Oreochromis niloticus: one gene and its partners. The protein of the gene in region 3 interacts with the protein of the main gene of each other region in a pairwise test. Links are inferred from orthologs where the notes say so. Each region holds a gene or a part of one and is shown on either strand. Other genes may lie near its edges. The genes, in order: nrip2, lmo3 and banp.

Region 1 (3,755 bases), on a different chromosome or scaffold from region 3:
GTTGTGCCTCAGCGCTTGTCTTGCATTGCCATTGTAATTGACCCAGAGATAATGTGGAAGGGCATAGGTGTTTTATGATTTAGGGCACAGGTGTCGAACTCCAGGCCTCAAGGCCCGGTGTCCTTGATCCAGCACAGCTGAAGGCTAAATGACCTCCTCAACATGTCTTACAGTTCTCCAGAGGCCTGGTAATTAACTAATCATTTCATTCAGGTGTGTTGACCCAGGGTGATATCTAAAACCTGCAAGGCCTGGAGTTTGACACCCCTGGCCCTCAAGGCCTGGAGTTTGACACCCCTGATTTAGGGGTTTCAAAACCTTCCTTTACTGATAGAAAAGATGCATGTTAGGCGGAAAAACTCAACCAGCAGGTGGCAGCACATAAACATCAAATCCCTCAGCAGTATTTTCCACTTCACCTTCACAAGGACTCCCTCTGCCAGATGAAAATTATATACTTTAAAAAAGCAGTCATGTCTTTTTTATATATATATTAGCACGCACCCTCTGCAAGGATACACTCATTAAACACTGTGACAGATAAATGAGCAGCGCTTACTACACTTCAAGGAAACCCTCCACACCTCTAGGCCAAATCACCACTGCTGTATAAAAATGTGTCATCGCGTAGAGGTCATGATGGATGGGATATTTATAGCTTTTGGTGGTGTGGATGGATGGAAAGAAGAAAATGGATTCTTTAATTCAGGCGGGAGGGAAATCAATTGTTGCCATCGGTGGTGCAGATTGATCCCGTTTGGGGTCGGACCACAGTGAGCTCTCGCACCTACACAGCGGGGGGCTACCGCTGTTGAGCTCGGGGGGACTGATGCTGCAAACTGTGTTGGGCTCAGAAGCAACACACAGGAGTGACAGACTGTGCGTGTGGGTGGCTGTGCCAGTTTAAAAGACTAGACGAGGCAGAAAATGCTTGCTGTGATGGTTAAGAATGTGGTTACAGATTAGCAGGGGAGCGGTGAGGTCTGATGTACAAAGAGTCAGCTGGGAAAATATGCTCAGTGTTTTGGGGGTGAGGGGAAGAGGAAGGCTGAGAGGAGAGAGAGAGAAACACTACTGAAGGCAGAGATGTATATGTGAGAGAGAGAGAGAGAGAGAGCGATACAAGGACAGACGGCTCTGAGGGGAGGGGAGGAAACACTTACACAGACTCTGTCACACCTTCCACACAGCCTCGCAGCCTCTGTGAGAGACTCAGCAGATCTTGACGTTGTGAGGAAAGATGCACATGAAAGGAGCAGGACAATAGCTCCTGGGAGAAATACATGCTGAGGACTATACAGCAGCATTTCAGAGAGAGCAACAGAGGCAACGTTTAGAGGTTTATTCTGCTGCTGAGGACCTTAAAGAGGACAAGAGCTTTACGTTCTTTGGAGGGGTTTCTCCTCTTCTGCTGCCGCTGTGAGGTTACAGTCTCCGTGCTCCCTTGCACAGCATCAGAAAGGACTGATTTTAAAAGCCTGAGACAATGAGTGAGGCGAAAAAAGGAGAGATAGCAATCCGGGATAAAGCCATCCTGCACCAGCAGAGGCGTCTGAAGCAGGCCACCCAGTTCACACACAAGGACTCTGCTGACCTCCTGCCCCTGGATGGTCTGAAGAGACTGGGCACGTCTAAAGACTTGGTGAGTGAGCTGCATGAGTGTCTGAACTCAATTGGAGAGGCGGTGATGTGCATGCAGGTGCTTGGCACCTGGCAAAGGTCTGCAGTGAGCAGGTTAATTTGCCAAAACCTGCTGCTCACCTAACCCACACTTTGACCCAGCTGCAACAGTTTGGGTTGGGATTTTGTGATGTGATGTGATTATGTTGTTTGTGTTCTTTGTTCGACTTGAATACAGCTTCCCTTGTCGATTATGGCCAATGATTGTTGTGTATTTTGATGGCATTCGATTGGCTGGAAATAAACCTACAGCCCTATGATTGCTGCACCAACAACACTATATGGTGTAGAAGGGTGTGCTGAGACACCCAAGAGCTGAAAGAGTCGGTGGATGATTGAGGAGGTTGTAGATAGAGCGGTCAAATAAAGAAATCGTTTGAAGGTTGCCAGGTTATTCCTTGCTTTGCACAAAAAAATTGTACAGTAAGCAAAAAATTGGCTTAAACTACCCCAGCTCCGTTTAGCCTTAGGGGCACGGTGAGGAACTCGGAATAAGGCCCCTGCTCCTTTATGTTAAGGAGCCAGTTGAGGTGGTTGATGCATCTGGTTAGAGGAGGGATTCCTCCCTTTGGAGGTTTTCTGGGAATGCACAACTGGGAGGAAAACCCCAGGGTAGAATCAGAATGCGCCGGAGAGATTATATGTCTCGTCTGTCCTGGGAACACCTCAGGATCTCCCAGGAGGAAGTGGGAAGTGTGGCTGCTTAGCCTCCTGCCTCACAATGAAAAATGATGGATGGATGGATGTTGAGTTTGCTGTCAAGTAGAACGTACAGCTACACTCACCATGTAAGACAGTGAGGCATAAAGTAACCCTGTGTATGGCTCTCTGACCGCAGTGATTTCACAGCCAAATGAAATGACAGTGACAGGGGTTACTGGAAAAAACAAAGACAATTTTGCTGCTTTAACTTTTAGGCACCACCTTAACTGCACTGTAACTGGACACAAAATTATCAGAATTAAATGACAAAAAAGTAACAGCCAGAAAACATCAGATATAATTTACCATTGCAGATACAGGATGGATTCATCCAGTCATCCTGAATCAAACATGCACATGTTTGCGCTTTCTGGCAGATCCCTAATTGAATTATCTAAATAATATTATAGCTTGCAGTGAGGTATAACCTGTCTAAGAAACTTGGGCTTGAGTTTTTTAGTATTCTGACGACTGCACCCATGCTAGCACTCCACACTCTTTTCCAAATATGGTATCTTCTGGCTGTGAAACACAATACTCAAAACAATACTTCACTGAGGCTTTGCAATTTGGAGCCCATGGCCAGTCGGTCTTGGCATGGTCGCAATGTCCATCTTTTATTTACAGGCTTTGTATGCCACCTTGGTCACGTTTTGCTCGCTCTGCAAACGCTGAAGCCTGTATTTAACATTTTTAGCATATGCAGCAGTGTTTCTTAAGACCCAATGGAGCTAATCACTTCACTGCCACTTTGACAGCCATTATTCTCTCCACTGTTGATTAATTATTTGGATTAACTGTGAAAAAAGTTAAATTTCCATCCCTGAGTCCAAAATTACATCCTTTTTTAATAATATCAGACCAGCTGTCCAAAACCACTTTATAACAATATAAAATGGAGAAAAGCTGCAAATCCTCTGGTTACTGCATGGCCATTAAGTGTAACCTCTAAAATAAAGATTCATAAAACATTCACAGTCGTGCACTCTGCATACAGAGGGGCGAACGTCTTGTCAAAGGAGTTTACAGTTCACTGAGCAGGCCTCTCAAATAGAGACTGAAGTCAGCGCACACTTGGAAACAGACACACACTTTAAGGGTTGACATACAGGATGAAAGACAGCCCTGCAAGTAAAGTGGGGCAAGTCTGACCTGCTCACTTCCTCTTCCCCCAGAAACCTCACTAAACCGAAGTTGTTATGTACACTCTGGAGGAACTCCCTGTAATAATCTCAGCAATTTATTACTCAAGCTCTCCTCTGACACAGTTCTGTTTTGATGGCGGCAGCTTCGCAGATTCCCCAGAGCTCTCTGAGAACCTGAGCACAGTCACGCTGGCACAGGAAAGCAGCTCTGGCAGCGCTCTGTGATCT
Region 2 (3,755 bases), on a different chromosome or scaffold from region 3:
AATGAAGTTTCTCTTATTATTGTCCCACCTCCAGTCTTCTCAGCAGTGACACGATATGATCATTCAGTTATTAGCAGCTGTTTGGCTAAAGGATGCCTCCCGTACACGCCCACTTTCTTTGATTTTGGAGCCACGGGTGCGTGTAGATGGTTCCTGGGGCCTACATTATAGACACAGAAGCAAATGCAATAGTCCACGTGTAGGTAGAGCAGTTTACTTCTAACACTGATACTAATATTGAGATGAGCAGCTCTCAGAGAGTCACAGATGTAACTCCTTGCATTGTTTATTTCAGGTATTTGGCCAGAGTCGTGGTTTGTCCTACAGTGTTACATCTGCACAGGGTTCTAATTATTAACATTTAAAAAGATCAGTCCGAGCTTAAGCCAAAAAAAAGAAAGAAAAAGAAAGTACTGTCTACTGCTTGCACTTTTGTTTGGTAAAAGACTAGTGTGAGAAAATGCAAACATCCCAGTGCATATAATGGCTCTGTGATGACACCAGCCTGTGCCAGTTCTTTCTTTAATGGCAAAGGGAGGTCTCCAGCTGGGTTAACATCAACAACTCGGATTATCATCTCTCCATAGTTGCTTTTAATCATTCTTGTATTAAAGGAAAAATACATTCACCAGGTTTTCGCGTCAAGTCGTGCATCAATTAGCGACCTAGTTTAGATGAGACGAGGCAGCGAGGAGGCCCGAGTGTCACGGTATGGTTACCCCAAACCTTCCTCCCCACCGCACCACTGCTCCCTATCACACACACAGATACATCGTATAAATATGATGATAGACAAATGAAAGTGTGGAAGGCACAGAAGGAGGAGACACAAGTCAATAGTTGGCATGTGACTCCAGCCAAAAATGCAGCAATAATGAGTTGGGTCATAAAATGCTCTCCGCGCCATTATGAGTGATGAGATGCATTAAAGCTGACAGGGTATTACCTGCCAGTAATTAGGTTTTGTCATGGATTGAATTATTTCAAGGAGGCCTATCTCGGTAATCATGCAATCTGCTGCAGTGTGTGTGCAGTGTGTGTGAGGCTTCCACCCCTCTCCTGGTGCCCTTCCACCCTCCTTTCACTTGCTGTGTTCAGCCAATTATTCATTCTCCGTATGAATATAAGATGAAGACAGAAAGCAGGAGTGTATGTGGAGAGCGGGGGAGCGGCGAGCATCGCGCGGCTAGCCCGGTCTTCTCATGCACCATACAGTACTCCTGCCAAACGCAAAACCGGAGAGAGGGGACTTCTGTTATATGCTATGACCCCAACCATCAGCCTGTAATGAAGACGAACGTGCACCAAAACCAGACACGCTCTGAACAGCCTTGCATAAATGACATTTCAGGAGGAAGCAAATCTGCTACATTTCCATCCGATCTCTTCCCTGGGAGCTCAACCAGCACTTTACACGCAGCCCTCGCTGTGGCTAAGCTTTAACTTAGAACCAAGAAAAGCAGAGCACTTATAACACATACCTTGAAGGAGCTACAGCCAGGGACGCCCAAAACAAATACTGCCGTGGTTCGTGTCTTCTGTGTTCTCTTGACTTTGAATGAAAATCTCCAGAAGGTAACTTTCTGAGAGCTCGGCCAGCTCCCGCTTTTCTAAAGAAAACTTTGCCGCCAAAGTTTTATGGTTTGATAACTGTTAATAGTTGAGCTTTGACCCTAAACTCTGCTCCCCTTGCTGCTCTGTGACTCCTGCAGCTCTCTCACAGAGCATCCCTTTCCCCCTTCTCCTTCCCTGCTTGTGTCTCTCTGTTTCTCTGACAGGGAAAAGCAGCGCACAGTCGAGCCTCCTCTCCTATTTAAGCCCCTCCACAAGGTCCCCAGTCGGCAGCACACTCCAGCTCATCCAAGAAGCTGACAAGCACCGTTAGGGAAGGCAGCGCATGTTGCTCTAATGGACCTCATTAAGCTCTACTTACAGATGTTCTCTTAACATAATTGATCTGCAGCGAGTTGAGAGGACGGCAACCTATTCCCCAGCCCCCAATTATGGCCCGGTAATTAGATCCCCAACCTCCAGTTCTCCACATTCACCCTTCTAACATTCCGAAATATCAAAGTATCTCTTTCTCTCAAAGCGACCACCCCTCCCTACACCACCTCACCTCCGTGTCTCCTCCCTCCTCCCCACAAGACACTATTGACAGTCAGATCTGCTAACCTTTGTAGTGTAGCCAGATTAGCAGTGAACTCACTGCTATTGACAGCGCTCACTCAGTTTTCTATTCCTCCTTTCTCTCTCCTTGCCTTTTCATCCCCGTTGGGAGACAGACAGAGAGAAAGTGAGTGGCACAGATGGAGAAAAGGGAGAGCGAGCGAGGGGGAAAACTGAGTCGACATACGCCATAAAACATCCTAATGGTAATATTTGTCTTCATCTCTTACCTCAAATAATTCCTCTGATGCCAACTTTGAATAGAAAAGGCGTTGGGTGGAGATGCCAGGAGCTACAGAGTAGTGATAATGTAGCTTAATAGTACCAGTCAGTGTCACTCCTGTAGCCCTTTTCATTAGCCCGAATGCTGAAACAGAAAGCGTCGAGTAGAGGGTAATGTCCTACTTTTGCATGACATAAAAAACTCTTTATGATGAAAACTAATAAAGTATTGGGGAAATAATAACGATGTGGGAAATATTGTTCCCAGATCTTTAAGTTTTCACAAATGTAACAAAATTGTTTTTGATGATGTCAGGAAATGGGACACATACTGTTGCCATGTGAGAATGTTTTCATAACAGGAGATATCAACATGGTATGCACCCGCAGGCCTCACAGGACAAGTTAAAGCCCGGTGGCTAACTGGCAGTGTTTGTTTGTTTGTCCTGATCATCTGGTTCAGGAACATCGAGCCCACTTTGGTCCTAACTGAGCAAACCCCTCAATCCCTGATCTCAACGTAAGCTGAAGAAGTGCAGTTTCAAACACATGTATCAATTTTTCTACATGATAAATGTGTCAAAATACAGAAAAACGTTGTTGTTTATTGTTTTATAAATATGGAAAAAAATTGTTGATTGATGAAATTTAAAAACTAACATTTCTATAGTAGACAGTGAAAAACAGAACCTTTCCTTTAATTCTTTATCTATTAATTATAAAGAATTAATGTAACGACTGTGTAATATGTAATGGCTGTGGAGGAGCTCTGTATCAGCAGGAAAAGCTGTTAAAACTTATAAACAAAACCAGTTAAAAGCCCAAAATTACATGCCTGCCTTCATATTTTTCAAAGCCATGCAGGGGCCATATTGGAATCTTTGCTGGCCGATTCTGGGGCCAGAAGTCGTGAAAATTTGGTAACAAGCCGCGTGCATGTGGAAATAACCTGACACACAGTACATGTTATTAGTCTATGTTAGTGACCTTCAGTGTTCATGTTAGAGACATGTTCCATTATAGAGACAGACAGACAGACAGACACACACACACACACACACACACACACACACACACACACACACACAGTAGGCGTTTGTTTCTAACTGTCCTGTAAGTAGAAATATTCTGAACACGCTACATGTGGACAGATTTGCAAATATAAAATGAATTTCAATTTTACAATAAAACAAACATCTGATAAAAAAAACTTCTCATCCCAATATTTTTGTACATTACTGGTTTTTCTTTTGATATTCAAATATTAAACCAAAAATATTTGTTTATTGCTGTGTAAACTTGTTTAAGCAAGTCATTAGAAAAACGTATTAATATAAGAAATTTTGCTTGCTGATCTAAATTAA
Region 3 (3,755 bases):
AAAAACAAACAGTAGACATTTAACAATAAAATAAGAAAAAGGAAGGGAAATGAGTAAACCATGTATAGTGCATACTGTTTTCAACAGAAAACACCAGAAAGCAACTCAAACATCCCCATACGCTACCAAAATATCCTCTCTGCTTTTTGCACTCCAAGTTCTGATTAGACGAGTGACAGTAGGTTAACCTTACACAGCAGTATGAAAGATCTAATATTTTTCATCGTGACTACTGGAAACTGACACCTCTTCCTAGGCATATGAATCTAAACTTACCAGGTTGAATGAGGAAAGTCTTTTTTAGACATATCAGAGGAGATGTATGGCAGGAAATTCTCCCATGGTAGCACACTGGTGTGCATATAAGAATATGTTATTTTTAATATATTTTAGGCCGACATGAATTCCAGTCAGGCACAGCCCTTCTGCATTACAATTAGTACTACGAACTGAACCTGAGTCCTTTTAAATAATGCTATCTAGCTCTACCTATACAGCTCTTAATAATGAACAGTGCAACCACTTGTGGAGAGTTAATAGACACTTAATTTAGTGAGTGTAATAACATACTATCTGCTGCATTTTCTTATTCTTTTATTACCCAGTGGAACACAAAGATGCCTAAAAACAGTGTGTCAAATCCCTGCCTAGCTGAAAGATGGACTGAGCCTGCCAGTGGCTCCACCTGCTGGTCATTTGCTGCTTTTACTTGTAGCACTCATCACCTCTTCACCACAGCTGTTGTTTTCATTCCTTGAGAGAGTTACATTTTAATGCAAAGCAATATGCTCTATACTAGATATTGGCATATTCTATGATATTAATACATAAAATAAAATATATTATTTGTAATATATTAAGTTATTCTTCCTTATCCTGCAACATTTTGCATGTATTAATCTTCCTCTATTGTTAACGTGTTTATTTGATTATAATAAACTCCTCTATATGTTCACTGAAGACCAAACAAGTACATGTAAAACGCTTGATAAAAATACACTTGCGCTTCAGCTGACCTTGGATTTTGTAATGTTTCAGTTGAATTTCCTTTTTGGTTGTTGTATATTATCATTTTGCTAATTATCTGTCTCAGAAATAAACATCAGAGTCATTTACATTGTGAACAATAGTTAGTGGGCTGCTTAATATCTTGTGCCAAATCATCTACATAAGAGGGTAAATAATGTAGAGGAAAATAAACCCATTTGCTCCAATCACTGGGAAACAAAAATACTAAAATACAGTAATATATACTCTAAGGTATCTACGGATGCAAACAAAGGCTTGGATTAAATCAAGATAACAAACAACCCTGAGGAGTTGGATTACAATGAATGTAAGAAACGTTTACTGGACGGTTAAAAAATACAGGGTTAAACAAACATGTTATCCGTTTATGCAATCTCGCTGCTTGCCACAGAGGCTTTATTAAGATACTGTGCTTTGGCGCAGTTATTATCATGCGGTATTATGATGATGTCGAATAAACTGTACAATTTAATGGATGTCGGCTTTTTTCAGATTTAGATAAAACAGCTTGAAAAGAAGCAGTCGTGCAGTCTGTGACTGGCGTCTGCAGCGGTGACGAGCGGTCTCCTGCAGACTGAGCTCCCTTGAATGAGCGTTGAGGAAACCTCCGTGTGTGAAGCACACGAAGGCAAGGTCTCATCTCTCGCGAGGAACGACGCCATTATCGGAAACTCTACAAACAACACGAGAATTCACCATTCACACGGTAATATAACCCAATCTTACACGGTACATGTGTTGTGTGCGAGAATGAGAAGAGAAGCTGCATCAAAATCACAATTAATTTAACGGTTGCTTCAGCATTAAACGAATCTTGCATTACGCTTCAAAGGCCTACATGCCCAACTAGCATGCTAACTACCACGCTAGCTTAAATAGCGTCTCCTTTAAGTTAGCATGCAAGCTTTCAAATCCGATTTTGTAGCGGCAGCTAACATTAGCTGCTAGTTATGATTTTGGTGACGCTAATTAACTAGTGAAAAATAAATTAAATATCCGTAGTACAGTAGTTTTGCACCGCATGTCTAGTCGCATTACATAAATGCATAACAAATTGATGCTCCAAGTTTGTTTTCCTCCGTTTATTCGCCTGTATTTAGCATCGTCAGACCCCCGCCCAGTTAACTAACCAATCTAAAGCTCGTTAGTTGGGCTAGTAGACGTTTACCAGCTCCGTGCTTTTTCTTTATATTTGTAGCAAACTGTAGTAATCTAGGCTAAGCAGCTAAAGTCTAAAGAAAATGGTCTGAAACAGCTGTGTTTCCTTATAGCTAGCCACTATCACAGGTAACGGTTGCGCTTAAAAAAAAGCGCCAGGAGCTTTTGCAATTTCAGACCGTTTTACATAGGGCTTAATTTAGTTGGGCTACTCTAAAACTGATTATCGCTCATTTTATGTTGGGCATACCATTCAGATAAACCCCCTTATATAAATGGTATGTGTCTCCAGTAACAAAGTTTCCTTTGTGTAAGTTTAAGGACAAAGCACACATTTATTATTCGTTTTTTTATTTAAAGTAATGTCACAAACTATTACTCTTAAGCTGCCATCGATGCTTTTGTAAGCTACGTAGAGCCGAGCCCACATAAAATGTCGTACTTTGATTATTATTGTAATTTTTCCTCATGCATCTATGCTTTTTTGCCATGTTTGGAAAACGAGGAAATGAATCAGGAAGACAAAGCTGCAAGATTATGACTCTGGATATAATTTCTCATACACACAACATGATTGTTAGTTTATTCGTGGCTGTTATGAGGATATAAGCCTTGTATTTGCAATGGATGGGTCCTTCTCTCACACATTTTAATTGAGGTGCTGTGCATTTTTGGAGTAATAGATTTTTTTTTAAAAAGTTCCACAAGTGCGCTAAAAATGTGTTGGTGTTAGCATTTGTATTACTGCTGCAACATTTTCTTTCCAAAATGTGGACAAATCACTAAAGCAATTGTGCAGTTTTGACACAAAGAGTAGGGAAACTGAACTTAGGCAAATAAAGCAATGCAACAAATGAAAAGCAGCAGCTAAAATCTGGTGAATAATACAGAATTTTTTTCAATATTTGGCTATACATACAGGCTCAAAACAGGACAACTTAGTTCATGTATTCAAGTGGACTGATACAGGGATCAAAGGTTGCAAATACTCTACTGCAACTTGAAAAAGTAAATTAGTTTGGAGTGTGCAAGTGTTAGATCTTTATTGGGTGACTGAATTTGACAGTTTTGTGGCAGTTACTTTGTCAATTATTTGTTGTGTAAAGGTAGCTTATTAAAAGTGTAATCCTAACTTGGAGTATGTATAAGTATTAGGACCACATTAAGAAAAAATATATTCTCAATTGCTTTGAGATTAAAGTCAAAATACTATTGTAAGGAATTTTTTTTTTTTTTAAATGTGGCGATTACAGTTGTTGCTTCAAAACAAACCGCCACAGTTGCTATACCCTCTGAGTTAGTGAAATCGTACTTAAGAATCAGTTTTAGTAAGAAGGAAGGATATGATTTCTCATTTCCTGATAACTATAAGGTGATAAGTCGAAAAGATGATGCAGAAAGATGCATCTGGTCAGACAGAAAAAGACACAAACTAGGAAGAGTGGGTTTGTACAAAATTAAATGACTGGTAATGGACAGATGTAAGGTTATCAATGGTTTCACTCTTGTCCAATAAAGAGGGTGTATGTTGTATCACAGAAGGGCTGATTAATTTGTTTCACTAACTC

Evidence for each region.
Region 1: the proteins of banp (region 3) and nrip2 interact in binary tests that used the Homo sapiens proteins (3 or more experiments, as listed by UniProt). The two-hybrid records come from large-scale screens. The link is inferred for Oreochromis niloticus from reciprocal best matches to the Homo sapiens genes BANP and NRIP2.
Region 2: the proteins of banp (region 3) and lmo3 interact in binary tests that used the Homo sapiens proteins (3 or more experiments, as listed by UniProt). The link is inferred for Oreochromis niloticus from reciprocal best matches to the Homo sapiens genes BANP and LMO3.

What each region holds. Positions count from the first base shown.
Region 1 is NC_031981.2:17,135,421-17,139,175, reverse strand, and holds the start of nrip2 (nuclear receptor-interacting protein 2), read left to right. Parts: upstream 1-746; 5' UTR 747-1,486; coding exon 1,487-1,642; intron 1,643-3,755. UniProt on the Homo sapiens protein: Down-regulates transcriptional activation by nuclear receptors such as NR1F2.
Region 2 is NC_031981.2:699,710-703,464, forward strand, and holds the start of lmo3 (LIM domain only protein 3), read right to left. Parts: upstream 2,507-3,755; 5' UTR 1,482-2,506; intron 546-1,481; exon of another isoform or gene 1-545.
Region 3 is NC_031972.2:56,896,036-56,899,790, forward strand, and holds the start of banp (protein BANP), read left to right. Parts: upstream 1-1,466; 5' UTR 1,467-1,735; intron 1,736-3,755. UniProt on the Homo sapiens protein: Controls V(D)J recombination during T-cell development by repressing T-cell receptor (TCR) beta enhancer function. Binds to scaffold/matrix attachment region beta (S/MARbeta), an ATC-rich DNA sequence located upstream of the TCR beta enhancer.